Daphnia pulex: one gene and its partners. Each later gene encodes a partner of the first gene's protein in a complex. Links are inferred from orthologs where the notes say so. Each region holds a gene or a part of one and is shown on either strand. Other genes may lie near its edges.

The links.
Region 2: nuclear inhibitor of protein phosphatase 1-like (region 1) and telomere length and silencing protein 1 homolog share a complex: the UniProt entries of both Homo sapiens proteins name them as parts of the spliceosome. The link is inferred for Daphnia pulex from reciprocal best matches to the Homo sapiens genes PPP1R8 and C9orf78.
Region 3: nuclear inhibitor of protein phosphatase 1-like (region 1) and transcription termination factor 2-like share a complex: the UniProt entries of both Homo sapiens proteins name them as parts of the spliceosome. The link is inferred for Daphnia pulex from reciprocal best matches to the Homo sapiens genes PPP1R8 and TTF2.

The regions. Positions count from the first base shown.
Region 1 is NC_060026.1:2,725,600-2,731,918, reverse strand, and holds nuclear inhibitor of protein phosphatase 1-like, read right to left. Parts: upstream 3,205-6,319; 5' UTR 3,158-3,204; coding exon 3,129-3,157; intron 3,064-3,128; coding exon 3,003-3,063; intron 2,918-3,002; coding exon 2,828-2,917; intron 2,757-2,827; coding exon 2,693-2,756; intron 2,628-2,692; coding exon 2,404-2,627; intron 2,344-2,403; coding exon 2,131-2,343; intron 2,057-2,130; coding exon 1,652-2,056; 3' UTR 1,647-1,651; downstream 1-1,646. Other genes in the region: carcinine transporter-like, read right to left, coding at 1-10, 77-245, 345-499, 563-666, 726-863, 921-1,160. UniProt on the Homo sapiens protein: Inhibitor subunit of the major nuclear protein phosphatase-1 (PP-1). It has RNA-binding activity but does not cleave RNA and may target PP-1 to RNA-associated substrates. May also be involved in pre-mRNA splicing.
Region 2 is NC_060023.1:10,022,633-10,028,916, reverse strand, and holds telomere length and silencing protein 1 homolog, read left to right. Parts: upstream 1-2,654; 5' UTR 2,655-2,750; coding exon 2,751-2,887; intron 2,888-2,954; coding exon 2,955-3,069; intron 3,070-3,135; coding exon 3,136-3,290; intron 3,291-3,353; coding exon 3,354-3,557; intron 3,558-3,625; coding exon 3,626-3,759; intron 3,760-3,824; coding exon 3,825-3,997; 3' UTR 3,998-4,038; downstream 4,039-6,284. Other genes in the region: zinc finger CCHC domain-containing protein 8 homolog, read right to left, coding at 4,061-4,579, 4,640-4,756, 4,821-5,127, 5,231-5,415, 5,478-5,615, 5,680-6,048. UniProt on the Homo sapiens protein: Plays a role in pre-mRNA splicing by promoting usage of the upstream 3'-splice site at alternative NAGNAG splice sites; these are sites featuring alternative acceptor motifs separated by only a few nucleotides. May also modulate exon inclusion events.
Region 3 is NC_060026.1:13,494,937-13,501,983, reverse strand, and holds the start of transcription termination factor 2-like, read left to right. Parts: upstream 1-2,812; 5' UTR 2,813-2,996; intron 2,997-3,060; 5' UTR 3,061-3,095; coding exon 3,096-3,150; intron 3,151-3,212; coding exon 3,213-4,282; intron 4,283-4,347; coding exon 4,348-4,812; intron 4,813-4,871; coding exon 4,872-5,157; intron 5,158-5,219; coding exon 5,220-5,417; intron 5,418-5,485; coding exon 5,486-5,662; intron 5,663-5,672; exon of another isoform or gene 5,673-5,829; intron 5,830-5,890; exon of another isoform or gene 5,891-5,916; coding exon of another isoform or gene 5,917-6,228; intron 6,229-6,293; coding exon of another isoform or gene 6,294-6,476; intron 6,477-6,537; coding exon of another isoform or gene 6,538-6,711; exon of another isoform or gene 6,712-6,790; intron 6,791-7,047. Other genes in the region: beta-1,3-glucan-binding protein-like, read left to right, coding at 1-6, 75-281; beta-1,3-glucan-binding protein-like, read left to right, coding at 965-1,164, 1,232-1,366, 1,429-1,556, 1,625-1,817, 1,894-2,092, 2,161-2,370; uncharacterized protein LOC124203690, read right to left, coding at 5,917-6,228, 6,294-6,476, 6,538-6,711. UniProt on the Homo sapiens protein: DsDNA-dependent ATPase which acts as a transcription termination factor by coupling ATP hydrolysis with removal of RNA polymerase II from the DNA template. May contribute to mitotic transcription repression. May also be involved in pre-mRNA splicing.

The DNA of each region.
Region 1 (6,319 bases):
TGGCAGATATCTAAAAAATTACATCATTATCAAATATGACGCAGCGATTTTCATTGTGCAATTTTTGTGAATTTACACGAGATAGATGAAAAAGACGAGAAACGGAAGGGTAGTTGCGTAGCAGAGATGGGTCCAGTCTCGGACAACATAAGCTACTCCAGACAGGAGTAACATACCCATCGTGTAGAATAGACAGGTCATGACGGTGATAAAGGTCCGATAGGTAGGGCCGACTAGTTCCAAGGCTATAAAGACGTCATTGAAACAACAATTGGATTAAGATTACGAATCCTTAGAGTGTCCTAGATACGCAAACCAGCCATACTGCTACTGTATTCGTATACCTATGATGAATGGAATTTGATAGATGGCCGGAATTGTAATTCCAACCATAAACCGGCAAGCGGCCCAAAGCCAAAAATTAGGAGCAAGTGCTGTGAGTATTCCACCGGCGAGTTCGACACTCAGACAAAGAAAGAACGACGTCTTTCTTCCAACCCTTGAGAAATTAAAAAAGTTTCGAATGAGGTTAAACTTGATTTACGTAATCTATTCCAATTACCTGTCGCTAATAACACCAAAAATGTAAACGCCAATGATGCCTCCGACGTTTAACAGTGAAAGTCCAATCGTCGGGTAAAGATTACGAGTGCAAACTAGTTCAAACTGAAAAAGCAAATTTAATTATTTTAAAGAAAATGTAGGGGGGAAATAAAAATCATTACGTCAATGACAATCGACGAAGAAATGATGGACTTGTCAAATTCCCATCCGTACAGGCACTCGGTAACGTTATTGCCGTCGGCCGATTCCGTAAAATTGTACATGGTGCATTTGCTGAACTCCATTACTCCATCATTTACCTGTCAATCCCAAAATTGATTAAACACTTCGTAAATTCACTCAATTAACGTAATTACCGTGTAAGGAATGTTGGTCATCTTCCATTCGCTGGAATTCCAGTTTTGGGAATCCACATCCGGCGGACTTTTGCACCAGTGGTCGGGAACGTTGGCCATAAAGAGCTGATTAAAAGCGTGAAATCCGCAAGGAATGCATGCCGGAAGGCAAACCAGCCACACAAGCAACTTCTGGTACCGTCCAAATTCGCCTACAAAGGGCAGTAGGTCATCGAAATCCCAACTTTTCTTCTCGTCCATTTTCGGACACGTCAGTGGCTCAAATTCCGGCGCGTGTAAACTATTCAATCCGCTGGATGTGATTTTTTTTTTTTTCAGAAGAGACTCACCTCTTTGTGGATTTCACACGATCGGATTCTGTACGGCAGCAATTGGGAGAAATAGTTCAGACACCAAAGTTCACTAATAACCAGACCCGCAAATCAACGTCAGTCGCCGATGGACCCATGCTGATTACAGAGGCAATCCAGGGCGTGGGTAGGCTCCGACTTCCCCTTATATCCGGTCAGCAGCAGCAGCAGCAGTGGAATCCCTAAAAGTACATTAGTCTCGTGCGTCAAAATTTTTAACAGGCTAAAGGACCACCACCTTCGATGACTCTCTCCAAGGAATCCCTACAACGTCGCCGATCATTTCAAATCTCGTTGTTGTTTTTTGTTAATTTCTTTTATTTAAAAAAAAAGGAGGAAAATACGTGATGACATGACAAGTTGTAGAGGTGTGAATTGTCGTTACATAAGAAGTGAGGGTGCTGGCTTTTTACCCGGCCAAGCTTCTTTGGCGTATTTCTTTCTCTTGGGCCCGTTGGAGGAAGGATCAGACTCTACCGCAGGAGGTTGTGTAAACTCGACATTGAGCCGGGAAGTGACCGGTGCGGCAGCTGGCTCCATTGGGGCGGACAAATCGACATCAGGGGCAGGGTTAGGCATCAATGGAAGCCCCAACTTTGAAGCTAAAGTCGAAGAGAAGAGCCCAGAAGACGCGGATTGAGATGTTAAATGAGACTGGGATGATTCACCCATCTCAGGGGGTAGGCCTCCGTACAGCCCTTCTCCTCCAGACGAGGCTGACAAAGAACGGTGGAACTGGTTCTCTCTTGACATCGTTCCACTGGCTAAAGTTTCGCTTTTAATCCGCTATAATGTCACGAAAGAAAACTTACAATTAATATCACCACTTAACAGAATTTAGAAGACTATTTAATATTTACTTTAGTAGGAATAACGAGGGAAGTGTGAACAAGATTGCGGAATCTTCCCACATTCGGATCAATATCTTCCGGATTGATAACTTCTTCTTCGTCATTGAAAGTGATCGACCTCTTCTTTCTCTTGCCTGCGGCAATTCTGCTGCCTGCGTCATCGTCGGCAATACCCAACATTGAGATCCGTCGATTATGAGCTGTGTTGAATTCAGTCAGATTCTAGATAAAGCAAACATTTGTGAAATTTTCATAAAAAGTTGAATATAAAAAGGCTCTCACATCCAACTCCATTTCTGATTCTGGAAGCCCAAGTTTCCCTCCATCCTGGTGAACACTTTTGGCTTCTTCTTCTAGTTCTTCCAAGATCGGTCTGGGGGCATTTTGTGGTCGCTCTCTCAAAATGTAATATCTAGTTGAAGCACCAAAATGAAAAGTGCTGTCGACTGGCAGTTGGGTAGGCTTTTCACTTTCAATCCTCATAGTACCAATATAGGTTCCATGGGCTGGATATTTGAAAACAATATTTAGATCAATGAACAATTAATTTTTGACAAAGTTATAAACTTACTGCTTCCCAGATCAACAAGAAATGCACGGTTCAGATGCTTGTGCCACACAAGTGCAGAGTGAACCTTTGAATCATGAAGACAGACGACAAATTAACGAAAGATGCAAAGTGATAATTTTGAAGGATACAACATACCCTGGAGCAGGATGCATGGTCAATACAAAAATCACACATTTGAGGATTCCGGCCAAAGAGGTAGCATTTCTTCTGATCTATCATCAATTTCTGTAAGAAACACGAAGAACAAAAACAAATACAAGCCGGTAAAAAAAACCATCAACAAAGCCGGCAATTAACAAACGCATGTTACCTGGATAAGTTTACCATCTTTGGTCACATCAAGGTGAAGTCCAGTCGTCGGTTTACCAGCCCTGCAGAAAAAGAAATCGGGGTTATTTCAGTACGTTACACATTTCCTATTAAAGCGTTTAAATACCAATTTGGAATCTCATAGTGATTCGCCATTTTTTTGTTTTTTTTCTGACAGCTTTTTTTCTGGCAGCACGCTGCAACATTGCGCGATTTATTAAATAATAACCTACATACGTGTAAAAGAGGCGGCAAAGTCGTAAAGCATTCAAACACACTCGGGTAATATGGTGCTACATTGTTACTAACGAATGGGACATAATGAAACCTTCAGCATTGGCGTCGTATAGACTGAATATAATACTGCGCTGGGTTTAAAACTTTTCTTTGGTCAACGATGATTGTGGAAAGCGCTTAAAAACATTCAAAGAGGTCGGGAGTTTCTCTTTTCCCTATCAAAAAATAGAATTCGTCACCTTACTTGAGTCAATTTCAACATGTGATGTTAATGCATTATAAATACACACTGGAAAAGAACAGGTGAACCACCTTTCCTTTTCTGCGCCGAAATAAATTATACCGTCAAATAAAACTGAGCCAGCAGCAGTACACGAATGATGCCCTATATATTTAGACATCTGTCAAGGAGGAGGAGCAGAGTCTAATTAAACCATTTGGCTGCTCGTTTTATTTAACGACTTGGCGAACTGCGTAATTGGTTTAAATCCAGAACATTTATATTTTTACTCTTACTATAATTTACAATGAACAATAACCTACATTTATAAAAAGAAAAAAAACGAAAAAAAAATTAATTGTACAGTGGAAATGTCCAGATTCTAAAAAGCTCAAAACACCAGATTTAGAATAACTAAATTAACAGTACAAAAGTTTACGAATCTGTGGAAATCTTTGCTTGACACCAAAAAATAGTTCAGCACCTCATTCCCGACTTGGATTTCCATATGCATCACATGTGCGTGGTGTTTTGTGTATACTGTACAACCCTAAAGTCTGAGAACTCACCCAAGTGGAAATTCTCAGCGTTCAGGTGATGTTACTCATGTCAGTATGAACAGTGAGCAGCACTCACAGGTTCAGCTAATGTCACAAGTTGACTGTCAGACAATTTAATGTTCACCTGACATTTCAGTTTTTAGGCTTTTTCTAGGTCACGTTAAAACTTTGATTCCGGACGTAATCTCTTCTTCGTTTAATTGACAAAATTTTTCTTTAGTGTCCATCATTAAACCTCCCACCAGATATGATTTATGTACCGCCCATGTAAATTTGACTAAGGAGTTTGAATGGATTATAAATAGAACCATAAAGATTAGAAAATATTAGTCCAAATGGCTTTTCTCACACATTTCGTAACAAAAACTAAATTCAAGAGAAAGAATTTTTTTTTTGACTGGGAAATCACGTCGTTTGAAATCGTCCAAGAGCTAATAAAGTTGCATAAGTACTGTCCTCGTGTAGACGGACTGTGTTTGGTGGGGTGCTTATTTTTAAATAATTATTGTCCATTCGTCTTGTCAGTCGGTGATTGGGGAAAGTCCGCTGGAATGTCTCTCAGCAATACGAAGAAAAGTTCTGGTATGTAACAGAAGAGTTTCTCTTTCGCCCTGTCCAACTAACAAAAAAAATGTAACACATTGAAGAGGAAGTCACGGACGATTTCCGGGCTGATGCCTGCGACACGATGGCGGGGCCCAGCGCAATAATATCCCGGCACCCATTTCCCTGTGTATATTCGTCTGCTCGTTGAATATATAACAAATAACGTCGCACAAAAGTTTTATCAAGAATTCTGCGTTCATTTTCCTTTTTTTTTATTTTTTGGTGTAGGCTACCAACGGTCTAATAGGCACCTGCTTGTTGGTGGGTTGCCAATGACAGTAGTTGTGCGTACAGTACAACCGCACGGCGAAATAACCGCAAAGAGCGTGATTTGTTCACATTCAAAAAAGGATGGGGGGGGGGGATATAGAAGCTCAAAAAACCGCCTAGGCACACGTGAATATTAGGAGCAATTGGCGAGAGTTGCCAATTTGCTCCCTTTCTCCTTTTCTTTTCAAAAGAAAAAATAAATTCCCCCCAGTTTTGTTGTTGCGCAACATTTTAAAAAAATATAAAAATCTTTCCAGCTGGTGCTGGTAAAAGTATATCGGCGGAATGTCTATAACATGTAATGAGCACATAATGACTGGTATGAAAGATTTTTCAATCTGTAGCTATACACGCGCTTGTGAGTTGTGTGGTCGATATGAATGAGATCAAGAGCCGGAAAGTGTTACAAAACGTGCCGTCACGCATGGCTCGACCATGTACATTCTTTGTGTTTCATCTCGGACGATTTTCATCAGCAGCAGATGCACAACATCCAAATCTCCTAGACGGTGTTGTTGTCGGTTCAAACATTTATCTCCAAAACCATCTTTTCTTTCGGGTCTGTGTTAAACACATGACGCAATTTAATCTAACACGACAGTCACGGTATACAAAAAAGACACTTTTTCCCGAAGAGGCTTGACCCGATATCTGTGCTGCTTTCTCCGCCGCTAAGACGAAAGTGCCAACAACCCGTAATGTTTGCTTTATTTAATTAATAAAGAAAATGTGTTATTCTGTCTCTGTGGCCGAGAGAGAGAGAGAGTATTAGTGTACCAAGGACATTTTGTGCCGTGTCACGATTTTTACACGACTTGAAAAACATTTTTCTGAAGGGGAATCCTTTTTTTAAAAGCTTGTATAAGGATCTTGTGTGTTATATTCCTCATCTTCTTTTCGTAGAAGAAAAATAAATTTCCGTCTGTGGAAAGTCACAGGTAGAAAAATGAGTCCCACAGGTACACTGGGTACATATACAACACCCATTATTAAATAACTTTCTAACGTGACCGGAAAAATCTATATAGATTCTCTCTAGCTGGTTATATGCACTCGTTTTTATTGACTTTTGGTGCGGAAATTTTCACAATTGTTTGAACAGCAGATAATTCGATAGTCTTTCTGCAATTGCTGCGAGAGATTATCCGACTACCTGGAACACAGCAGCCGAAAATCTGGTTCGAATGGAAAGTGTACACATAAAATATACCTAGGGATTGAATTTTGTGTGGATAGAAAGCCTCCCATTTTTTTTCTCAACACAGAATTAACCTTGCGCCTTTTGTATACATATAACCAACTTTATAGTACATGTCATTTGGTCCTCTATATATAAGTCTAACCTTTGTTCGTTTGAAGGTTTGAACTTTGGTCGGAGAAATGCGCTGGGAAAACACACACATTTTCTCCAGTCGCAGTCTATAG
Region 2 (6,284 bases), on another chromosome or scaffold:
GAGAAATCTGTTATTACCGAGTTGAGCTATCCAGCGCAGTGGTTTAAATGTTGTCAATACTTAAAAATGAAGAATTCAGTTCGGTCTGGGTGCAGGTCTGGTGAGTTTCATATTAATTCAGTTATCATTAGCTCAAGGTAGATAAATTGCAAAAAGAAAAAAAAAAAACATTAACTCAACAACAAATGGAAATTATAAATCTGTAATGATTACCTACGGGATACGTATGATCGCCGTACGCAAGCGTTTAAAGTGGATCACAGTAAAAAATCAAAATGGCCTGTATAAAAAAAAATCCCCGGGATCGTAATTATTTATGAACATATCTAATGGGTAATTTAATAACTTACGACGATGATGATTTGAGTGTATTATCATATAAAACCACAGGTCCACAAACTCCACACTTGCTTTTACTTCACTGGCAGTCTACAAAACTGAAACTAAGTTATCTATTCGCCTTCTAGACGAATAATTGTTAAATATAACTTACTCTGATCAAACAAACAAAATTCGTACAGCCTATACAGGCAGCAAAAGCTAACATTTCGGGATCAAAGTCATGCCACGTCATCGGATATTTTGGCTAAGAGAATTATAGGCTAGTTTACCTGTAAATTCACACACAAATATGTTACACACTAAAAACTTGAGGAATGCAAACCAGAATACCTTTTTCATTTTCATAATGGGAAATAGCAAAGTATAAACTGGCGAATTGAGTAGCATCCGGTAGTATCTAGCAATGAAGCCCGACAATATTCCCGAAACAACTAAACAAGCGGACACTATCATGAATGTCTCCGCCCACGTACCTCTGTACTTCATGGCCACCTGGCGCACACGTTTAAAACACCTTAAGCAAAAACAAGTACATGTGGAAGAAAAACAGCAGTTGTTCCTAATTTAACAACATTCCCAATTAACAAGCAGCAAGGTGACGAAGTCAAAATGTTCTGCATTAGAAAAAAAGCTTCAATTTGACCTGGCTGACATATCCTGTGAACGAAAGGAAATGTAATGCATTGTTATGCATAAATCATTGTCAGAGAAACCAACAGGGAAAATTAAGATTCAGTTGGAAAAACGGTTTAACAACTTCTGTAAATTTCTTTGATTTCATTATAAAAAGCTTAGCATTATCTGAGGAAATCTAATAATCCAAACTGTAGAGCTCACTTAAGTGACATAAAAGAAAGTATCTCACCACGCAATAATGGATCAAATCGATGTTCTCGAAAAAAGACAAACTTCCAGCTATTAGTAACATGGAGGTATATTAAAATTAATATCTATCAAATAATTAATATTAGCAGACAGAAATTTGTGTACCTTTACACAAGGCACAATTATTATTTACAGGACATTTAAATCATTTGTCTATAATTTGTCGTAATCTACTGCGTTCATTGAAGTTGTTTAACGTCTCGGAAACGATTTTCAGCTGGGTCAGCCGCCTGATGTAAAGAGGACCTTAATTTTACAATGTCCTTAACGTTGTCTTCATTTTCAGGCTCTTATAGACCTTTTTATGGATAGTTAGACAGCGGAAAATAACTCTAAATCCCAACTAAAACTTTAAATAACCACGCATTTACGTTCTTATATAATTAATTACATCAACAAAACGCACAAATTACAAAACCGAAAAAACTTACATTTCCTTAAGGGAGAAGAAGATAATTCTGATCTTCCTGATGGGTTGGCACACCAACACCTCCTGCTCATGAAACTATAGACATCCCATCTACAGGAGTGGTATTCCAATCCATATGCAAGAAACATTGCAGCAAGAGAGACATACACAACTCTGAGCTTCATGCAATGTTTGACGACTCGAGGATTCCACAATAGTGCAATCGTGAAAATTCTTCATCTTAGAAGATGAAAAGGTTTCCAGGAAGCCAGGATGCTTACGGCAGGCGGAGATTCACCGAGTATCTTGCAGTCAAGGCAAGAGAGTCTGATCACAGTGAAGTACACGTCTTTGGTTTAGGATCAAGCGGAAGAGTTCTTCTAGAAATTCAAAAAGAGTAGGAGGTGATTAGGTTCAAGCAACGTTATCCTTCCAGTGCCCCCTTAAACATAGCAATAGGAAAAAAGCAAAATGAAAAGAACAAATATTACGAAAAATTCCGCAAAATTCTGTCGAAAAATGTATAAATAAGGTGATAATATAATATTATACTTATATTGGTTACTCAATTTGTGCTATCAAAAGATTCATTTCAGGCTTCAGGAAGGAATGATTTTTTAACACTTAGAAAGAAGCAAAAGCTGAAATCTGTGCTTGACTAACAAAAACATTGAGGAAACTCTATAATGCTATTTTCTAATAAATAAAACGAAAAGACAGTAAGTTTAATGAAGACTCTTATTCCAATCCCACTCCAACAAACTCAGCATGTTTAGGTAAATATTCTAAATTGAAATGCACAACAATGGTCGCCATTTGCATGACACCGTGAGATGGAGTAAGCTCTAACTGTTGCCAGTTTTTGTCAGTTTATTCCTTCATTTAATGACTCATTAATTTGAGAATAATTCTATTTAAATATTTAAGAATAAAAATATTTTTATACCTATCACTCTGGTCAAGTTGAAGAATTACTCAAATACGATTCCGAATTTCCCATATATCGGCAATCTGTCAAGGTTGTATGTCACTGTACTGCTTCTGTTTTGTTTTTGTCTAAAAGAACGGGACGCCTTTTTAAGTTACAGAACAATTAAACAAATCGTAAAAAAATATGGAAGAAATTGGTGATAATTCGGGAGAAGCTTCTCTAACATTTAAATTCAAGAAACCAAGTAGAAAACCTATGAGAAAACGTCTCGAAATTGAAGAGGACGATGATGCTGGTGGCAGTGATGAGCTCGACGTGTTGTATGCACATTCTTATAAATAATATAATTTAAAATGTATTGTCATATTTAATTTCCTAATTTTCTAGGTTAAAGCTGGAAGAGACAAAAGAGTTACAAAAGTTAAGAGAGAGACCCCACGGTATTAGTGCTGTGGCATTGGCAATTGGCAAGCGAATAACTGTTGAAGAGGAAGTTACAGTGGTAAGGCAGTGTATATAGAAATTTATACAAGATCATGCATTAACTAGTTTACTTGTTTAAGTAAAGAATGATCCCTTCAAAGTTACAACTGGTGGAATGGCTGATATGAAGGCAGTTAAAGCTGGAAAGCAAAATAGTTCATCTGCTGATGATGCATATGAAACTGGAATTGGTACACAGTTTTCCGTGGAAACCAACACTCGAGATGAAGATGCAGAAATGTGTGTAAATATTATTCATTTACAACTCTTGCAATTCAGTTATAAAATGTTTATTCTTTTTAGGATGAAGTATATTGAGGAGCAACTTGCAAAAAGGAAAGGTCTAATGCAAGAGGATGAAGATAAAAGTAATAAATACCTGACTCCTGAAGAAATTGCTTTTTCGTCAGTACCTGAATATCTGAGAGTGAAATCTAGTGTCCAATCTGAAGAAATGTTATCCAACCAGATGCTTAGCGGAATTCCGGAAGTAGATCTAGGAATAGAGTATGCCAGTCTAAAACATTTTTATATTAAAAATTTTTACAATGACTTTCATAATTATTTTATTAAAGGGCCAAAATTAAGAATATTGAAGCAACTGAAGAAGCAAAACAGAAGCTGCTTCAAGAAAGACTTCGTAAAAAAGATGGTCCTTCAATGTTTGTTCCGACTAACATGGCCGTTAATTTTGTCCAGCATAACAGATGTACCTTTCTATTATTGATCTATACTTAATTAAAAATTTCTAATCATATTTTTACATATTTTTAGTTAATATTGAAGAATCTGGCCCCCCACGTAAGAAACGTGCTGAAGCTTCTGTCAAACCAGCCGTCCCTGTAGAGTTACCTAAAAGGTTAGACAATGTCGGTGGGAAAAAAGAGCATGATAAGGCAAGCGACGACTTTTATTTCGAAAAGTTCCGGCGACAGTTCCGAAGATGATGAAAGTCTTAATTTTTCAAAAAAATACATACATTTTTCAAATAAACGATTTTTCAGTGCCATTTATTTCCTATTAAACATTTGCTTCGCCTTTTGAAGTAAAGATCGCATCTTTTGAAAAGCGCCCGTACTATTTGGAAGATTTTCGTATAGTTCAAGTTCACCCATGGTCCCAAGTTTCCCATTTTGCGCAAACTTGTCTCGTGAAGGTAGGATATTATAAGGTGAATATCGTATAGAGACAGGAGTTCCCATTGCCAAGAGCTTGCTCTTTTTCGGTGACAAGTCTTGATTGTTGATTGGTGACTCAATATTTAGAGGTAGATCTGATATTGACGAGGTAGGAATCGTCACTGCAGCAATATCCATTTCCTGAACCTCGTTGGTTAGGTTGGGAGATCCACTCTCTTTCAATGTGTCCCCAGTAACGATGCCAGTTGTTGTGTTGGTTGGGTTAGTGGTTTCACTCCCTTCAAAATTTTCTTCAATAACACAGTCATCGTCTTCATCTCCCAACTCAGCAAGCAATGCCTGGCGCTTTTCTTCAAGGTCTTCTATGGATGTATCCATGTCAACGATTTCCTAAAATAAGGAATTTTAACTTATTTGACAACATTTCAACGATTTTATCTAGCAACAAACCAAATTCGTTTCTTCACTAGAATTCTTTTGAGTTTTACTGTGCATCTTTAAATTGGCGATGAGAGCTTCTTTGGAATTGTGCTCTTGCATTGGAGGAAAGTTTAAATAGCGCCAATCCTGCGGTTGATTAGCGTTAAAAAAATTTACACTGTATTATAAAAGCAAAATGGGTTCCACTTACGTCACGGACTCGTCGATCAACAGGAACGTTGAAGCCAGGGTAATCGATGATTTTTTCATAGTCATAAGTAACTGTTTGGTTTGCTTCAGTTGAAGAGGGAGAAGTGGCAGCATCAATCATTTCTAACCCAGAAGAATATTCTTTAATATGCTCTATCCAGCCAGGAGGGTATCCTAAAATCCGCATTTGATAGATATGCAACGGGATTTCAGAACTTCTTAGACCCAAAGCTTCCCGTAACTCTCTACTGATGACACCAGGAGTAAAATGATCAAATTTGCTAGGCTTGTCAATATGATAACGATTCCTAAACAATAGAAAGAAAAATAGTAAGATAGTAAAATGGTACAATGCACTCATTTATGGTGTGACTGTTATTTATCACTTGACTTTTTAGAGGTTAGCATTACATTCGTGCTGGCTGCTTCTGCATGAATGAAGAACGATTTTTTGATATTTCTTTCTGATTCTTTGGGTTTGGGCAGTTCATAAGAGAGTGGTCACCCAAACAGTTAAAGCATCTGTTGTCTTGTTTTACACTATCTCCTGTAGAGTCTGTAGTATCTTCTCCAGATTTGAGAGTTGAACTAAATTCCTAATGAAAAACCAAGAAATAATTATAGTTTAATCAGAATATTTATCCACAGTATTACTTACCCTCGTAAATCTTGGTCCTAATGGTTTCTTTGTTCCCACTTCTGGTGTGGTATCTAAGCAAAACATTCCAGATACATCTTGAACGAAAATAACTTCAGGTCCATTCTCATTTTCAGATATAGGTTTACCTAAGCTAACCTGAAATCATGAAAATACTTAATAAATACCAACAATCATTAGAAGAATAATATTCTATAGTTACAGGTGTGTCCTGCTCAGTAGACAATGGTCCATCAGATGTTGCAGCAGCAGTTTCTGGTTTTGAAACAGATGATGAAACAACATGACTTTCACTAGCAAAAATGATCTCAGGTTCATCATTCCCATCTTCATTAATGATATTTTGAGTTGCAGTTGCTTTTCCCCTTGATTGTGGTGTAGTATTGTCAGTTACTATATGGCAGGATTTTTCTTCTACAAACACAACTTCTGGCTCGTCTTCTTCATTCGCTGTACTGCCATGTTCAGAACCAACTTCATCAACTACAAAGAAAACCTCTGAATCATTGGCATCATTCAATTTAAATAACTGAGTTTCCTCTTCTTCACAATTTGGTTTTTGTGTCGACATTTGTTTAACACTAGCAACACTAGTTTCATGCAAAATTTTAGCTAGATGCTTGATACATGAGATGCCCAAGATAATCACGTGTTTGTTCTGAAGAACCGAAATCCGAGAAACACAAATGAACTTGGTTACTGAACGAACATCAGCCTGTCTAAATAATTATTTTATCACAAAAAACTTAAGCGTCTTATTTTCAATAAAAGTAATCAAGAACTTCGATTGCAGGAAGAAAGAAGTCT
Region 3 (7,047 bases), about 11 Mb from region 1:
CAACGCGTAAACAATGCTAATAATTATCTTATATAAATAATAAAAATATTTCATTGCTATTTTGTGAATGGCAGTTCCATTTCTTGCTCAATGTCGCTGTTGGTGGAAATTTCTTTCCTGACGGTTGCCAAAATGAAGATTACGACAAACCGTGGAACGCATCTGATCCTACTCAAATGACGAAATTCTGGGAAAGTCGTGACAAATGGCTACCAACATGGAACGCTGGAACAGAAGACAATTCTATGCAAGTTGATTACATTCGAGTCTACTCTTTATGAAAACAATTGCTCAAACAAAAGAATCTTTTATAAAGTTGAATATTCTAAGAAATTGATTCATCTAATAAAAAAATGAGCCTTTTAAATGGTTATAAAATTATGCTATCCATCATCCATGAAGAAAATTGGCGATAAGTGTTATTTGAACAATAAACATTAGATTTTCTATTTCGGTTTTACTTATCGCTCATTTTCTGGCCCTAAATCATGACGTGAAAAACTTGTATTATTCAAACATGTAGACAGGTACACGGGTAACAGTTTTATTGTTTGAAAATCGCTGTATATATAAGTGATAACCGCGATGTTGGGTTACAGACAACCTATACCAATCTGCGTAGGTAGTTATGTCAAAATTATGAACCTTGTACACACTTCTAATCCCGCAACCGCAAGAGCCATTTACGATAAAGATTTGAACGACAGCGATCCCAGCAGTAAACCGCAACAACACTCTAATACATTGTAATGCGTTGGTCTCAAAATTGTACGTGATCCTTGACAGGCCATAGTTTAATCAAACAATCGTCATTGCATTATTGGACTGCGTACCTACTGGGTTGCAAACAAAACAAACACTATGCGTATTTAAGGCACTACTCTGCGCTCAGATTAGAGTAGTCTTTCTTCAAGTGTTCAAGAGAAGCAGGAATTCAATTTTAGCCTACTTGCAAAGAGGGAAAATGAAGCTTGCAACTTTTGCCATTTTGGCTGCTGCCCTGGCCGTTTGCCATGGAGCCAGTTTCAACAGTCCAGCGCGTGGTCCGCTCATCTGGCAAGAAGAATTCGACTTTCTCGACTACAGCAGGTGGAAGCACTTGATCACTGCATGGAGAGGTGGTAACAACGAATTCCAGTATTACGACAACCTCCCAGAAAACAGGTACACTAATTGAGCAGAGACAAATGTATTTTAAGCTTTTAACTAATCTATGATTCTTCCCTTAAAGCTATGTTCGAAATGGGATCCTATACATCAAGCCAACTTTGACAGCGGATCGTTTTGGCGAGGATTTCCTGTACAACGGTGTCCTTGATTTGAACGCCGAGGGTTGCAATATTAACATCGATGGAGGCTGCTACGTGTAATATTTCTATATAGTAACAAAAATATTTTGATTTTCCATTTTCATTTCATCAATCATAGGGTGGCTGGCAATGAAATTATCAATCCAGCTCAGTCTGCCCGAATGGTGACGAGTGATTCGTTCAGTTTTACTTACGGAACAATCGAAGTCAGAGCTAAAATGCCAAAAGGTGACTGGATTTGGCCAGGTAGAAATGAGTTGTTATTAAATATAAAAACAATTGGGAAATTAATAGTATTGAAATATCCTATAAAGCAATTTGGATGTTGCCTACTGACGAAATTTATGGTGGTTGGCCACGATCGGGTGAGATTGACATCGTAGAGTCCCGAGGAAACGCCGATTTTTCGTGCAACGGCTATCCGATAGGGCGACAGTTGGCAGGAAGCACTTTGCATTGGGGTCCTGATCCCAACCAGAACCGTTTTGACCTTACCCACTGGGAAAAGTAAATTTACATATGTGCATGAATTAATTATAGTTACTACTTAGAATAATGTTAAACGTTTTTATTTTTCACAAAGGATCACTCAGAATCCAGATTTTGCCAGCGATTTCCACCTTTACCGTGTCGAATGGCTTCCAACTGGTTTCCAATTCTTCATTGATGATCAAATGATTGGTGAAATGTATCCCCCTGCAGGTGGATTCTGGGAATTGGGAGGATTTCAAGGACAGAACCTCTGGAGCGGTGGAACTGTAATGGCTCCCTTCGATCAAAAAGTATATATTTTTTTTTTATTATTTATTTTAAATATTTCATTTACATCATTGTCGTCGTGTTTGTGCAGTTCCATTTTCTTCTTAATGTCGCTGTCGGAGGTAACTACTTCCCTGACGGCTGTCAAAATGCCGTTTATGACAAGCCGTGGACCGCATCTGATCCTACTCAAATGAAAACTTTCTGGGAAAGCCGCGACAAATGGCTACCCACATGGAATGCTGCCACTGAAGACAACACAATGCAGGTTGATTATATTCGCGTGTATCAGCTTGGTTAAATTGCCACAAACTGATTTTAAAAAAAATTGATTTTATGGAAAGTTTAACTTGACTCTTAAAAGAATAGAATAAAAGAATGCAACATTTTCTTTATCCTTTATTTACTTCACCTCATAATTTGATGTAAAGAGATAGTATTACCACGGTTAGACCGTGGTATTGCAGTGTCAATGCTCAATGGTGCAAGGTTTTCAAATTTCCCACTACGCGTACTAGACTCCTCCCCAACTACTGCGGTTGCACGTACACGATCGAAATAAGAAATTAATATTAAAACAACAATATAAATATGAATGGGAAAACCTATTCGAATTAAAAATTGCTCATAAAGTTCAAAATAGGAATTTGCCTAATCAATGTTTTTCTAACTAAAAAAATAATTCATAAAATTTCGTTGGCTCCTCTTTTTTTTATATTTGGCAACGACGCCTCAGTATTTCTATTCGAAAATTTTAGAAAGAAATCGTGAACAAGTGTGACAAGGAGTTGGTGATGTACTCATGTCCGTTGTTTCTTCTTTCTTTTATCGAACGAAATATTTAATAAAGCACGAGAATAGTCCAGGTCAGACAGAGAGGAAGCTAGGTAATTTGTCATCTTTCTACTGCTGCCTTCGTATTTTATGGTAAACCTTTTGTACATTATGCTAATGCTCTACTGGTTCATGATCACCTAAATTTCAAATCCAGAATCTAGAGGAATTTAAGCTGAATTGACATACAAAATGTCCAAGTTCCCATTGAATGATGAAAGTGACCTGGTTCCATCTACACCAGAAGGTAAAACATTTAGAATTTGAAAAGTAAGGCTTTCTAACATCATTCTGTTTCCTTATTTGAAGATGTGTCTGATAACGAGGCGTATGAAACTCCAGCTGCCCATTCTTTTAATAAATACTCAAAGTCTAATGTGAAAGCATCTGCTGTTTCACGTACAGAGAAGATAGAAGAGTCAGTACAGGGAGAAGATTCAGACTCTTACAGCGTTGAGGGAGAAGAAGAGGAGGAGTCCCAGCATTCATCTAGGCCTGGATCTTCAGATGATGAGGAACCTGAAGATGAGGTAGATAAAAGTCGATCCTCTAACCTGGTTGTCAGTCCTTTTGAAACTAAAAAAGGATCGAAGCAAAAGGCTCATAGATTTATTGAGAGTTCAGAAGACGAGTCTGATGATGAGTCTGATGAAGAAGATGTGTCATATCGTGTGAGAGGAAAACGTCTTGGATCTAGTGAAAAATATTCAACTAGTCAAATTGGAGACCTGGATGAATCTTACCAAGTAATTCAAGCTGGAAGGCGTCAAGCAAAATTGGTGATTCAAAGTTCTGGAGAAAATTCTGCTGAAACTTCTGACATTGAAGGCTTGGCAATTCAGAAGGCCAATGCTTCTGATAGCTCTGACGAATCCGCAGAAGATTCTTTTGGTTCCTCCGTTAAGAAGAAGCCAACCCGAAATCCAATTGATAGTGATTCCGATTCTAGTGGACCACCGGTTAGAGGAAAAGCAATTGACACTGACACTAGTGAAGAGTCCGATTCTAGTGTTGAAGCAACACCGCGAGTCTATCGTGAACAAACTGGAAGGAAAGCTGCATTATCATCCACTGAAGATGAGTCTGAGGATAATATTAGGAAAGAGATGACTCCTCGTATCCGAAAGCAATTCATCGACAGTGACGTATCTACTGAAGAAGAAGTAAGGGTTCCTCGTATAAAAACTCCTCATGTCCGAGATCAAATCATCGACAGTGACGTATCTACCGAAGATGAGGTTGAAGCCATTGCCCCACGGCTCCCTTCGTCCTCTCGTATCCCTACACCACAAGCGATTCAGCGTGCTCTTCGCAATACCAGTCTTGATAGACACGTTTCGGGGAATGATTCAAACATGGATCCCATTAACGCTAATCATGTAAGTTGGCCGTGATTAAAGCTGCCTATGATTAGACCTTTAATATATTTTTTATTTTATTTCAGGAAATGTCGAGGAAATCGGCCGATAAAAGATTTTCGCCTCCTGAGCCTCTTGTAGAGGAAGAAGAAGTACCGATCCAAGATCTATCCAATAGTATTCTTGAGGTATCAAGTACTGTTGTATCTTTTTCGAGCCCTGAAGTTGAAGGAAAAGAACAAGATCAGAGCATAACTGAGTTATCATCACCGGAAATTGCACGAACTCTTCCTGTTCGACTCTCGGCAGCAGAAATAACGCGGATGCGTGAAGATCTTGAGCGCCAAAAACTTCTTTTGGTATCGTCAAATTTAAAATCATTGCCCGATGGAGGAGAAAGGCTCCGAGACAAAATTCGTAAGCTGACTGAACAGCTAGAAACAGCCAACAAACTCGGTGTAAATCCCCCAATGCGCCCCGTTCCAGTTTCATCAGTAGCGTCAAGTGAAGTCCAAGAAGATGAACTTCGAAAACAAATACAAATGAAAAAGGTTATTTTCCAACAATTATTTTCTGAAGATAAGATAAATTTTATTATTGTTTTTTCTAGTGGGCCATGGGTAACGCAAATAGCGACGACAAGGAGCGCCTGCGAACTGAAATCGGTGCCATGGAGGGTCGTCTTATTAAGTTGTCAATTGCCAATGCAACCAACGCCGGCAGCAGCAGTTACGGCTCAAAACATTTGGATTTCCAAAATGACACGCAGAATCGCCAATTAGCTGTAAAACCGAAAAAAACCCAACTTCTTCCTGAAGCTCCCAGACTAACCGAAATGCAGAAGAAGATGTTTGCCGATAATGCGGGAAAGGAACTCTACCAGAAAACGGAAACCGGTTAGTAATAATAGTCATGTTTTTTTTTTTACAGCAACTCAAATTCTCCTCCTTTTAAATAGGTTACATCTCTGCTGCTGCCCGTCGTGAGGCTGTTTCCATCACTATGGATTCGCTTGAAAACCTTCATCGTTCTCTCGCCAGTTGCCCAAAAGAAACCGATGTGGAGAGTACGCCCGCCTGCCTCACAGTTCCTCTCTTGGCGCACCAGGAGCGCGCACTCAAATGGCTTTTATGGCGCGAGACTCAAATTCCTGCTGGTAAGCGACGTGATTACTTGTTCATTCAGTTATTCCCTAAACTTAATTTATTCTTATTTTTCTTTTAGGTGGAATATTGGCGGACGACATGGGTTTAGGCAAGACACTGACCATGATTGCATTGATCGTGAAACAAAAGGAACTAGATCCTCCACCACCTGCGTCCTCCAACATTTGGCTCTCCAAGACCGTCAAGATCAAAAGGTCATCTGGTACTCTCGTTGTTTGCCCCGCCAGTGTAGTGGGTAAGTGTTATCCAATTAACTTAGTTTATTAAACGTAGCTTCACAACAATCAAGTGGCAAGAAACATGGAAAGAGTTAATGAACCAAACGGGGAATGGGAATTTCTTTGTAACATCAGGACAGTGAGTGAAATAAGTAACAAGTTCCTCGTAGAGAATTTTTCTCGCCTGCAATGAAAGAAAAGCGATTATTGAATTTGTAAAATTCTAGACATTCGTTTAGACTTACGTTTTACGACTGTGAAAATCTTCTGGCTAGACGATTCTGTTTGTTTCTTCCATTTGTTTTTTTAAATTGACCAAAAGACTGTCGACATCGACATCTTGGTAATCGATTCGTTTGGGTGTCGTTTGACTTGTCGGGGTTGGTTGAGACGGTGAAATCGGTACGTTTTCGTGTTTCACTTTGGCATTGTTCAAACGACGTTGACTGAAATAACCACTGCGAAGGATCCGAGAGATGATTGCCTTTCCATCGTAGTACGTAATGTTAGTCCCTGGAACTGATTTTCTTTCTCCCTCCATCAGAAATTTGAAATGCTCGGATGCTTTTAAGTTTTCTTCGATCTAAAGATAAAACAACGTGGTTAAAGTAAACGATAGTAATAGTGTCACAGAACGAGTTTCTTTACCGGTGCATTCATGACAAATTCAAGTAGAGTTTTAGGACTTTTAGTTGAAGTGGTAAGTCGATGAAATGTCTTCAAAATTTCGATATCTTCCTGGCTTAGTTGTGGAGCCCCTTGTAATCCGCGAAGAAAGTCTTGACGAATGGCACTACCAATACTCTGTGTGCTCAAAGCATGGAGCATTTCCTAATCAAAAATATCTCACATTCAATAGAGGATACACAAGTTTCAATTTAGTTGAACTTACCTGAACGTCGATGACTTGCTCCAAGTGGTACAAAACCTGCTGTTTTTCGTTTCGCCTTTGTTTTGCAATACCTTTAGGTCTACTAACGAGGGTTTGAGAAAGTATTTTCGAGGTTGAATTCGGAGACACAAAAGCACCTGGTGAGCTTAACGACTTTTCATTTTCACGTTGCATTTTGGCTCGTCTCGAACACGACAATAAATCGACTACCACGTGTGAATGCCGGCAACAAAACTGAATCTGCGAAGCAAGGTCACCCTCTACCTAACCTCCGGTTATGGGGGGGGTGGCCTAGGGTTACACACTCGGAAGGGTTGGGAAAAGGCGCGGCTTACGTTATGGCGTCCTAAATTAGTTTGCACGTGGAAAAATCGTACTTGTTATTGCTAGATGCATTACATTTTTCTCCAAAATAAATAGAATGCATTTTGATTAGATAAAAGATGAATTTCAATAAATTCTCAAACGCGTTTTTATGAGTCACAAGTTATGACTCATTTTGATTCACAG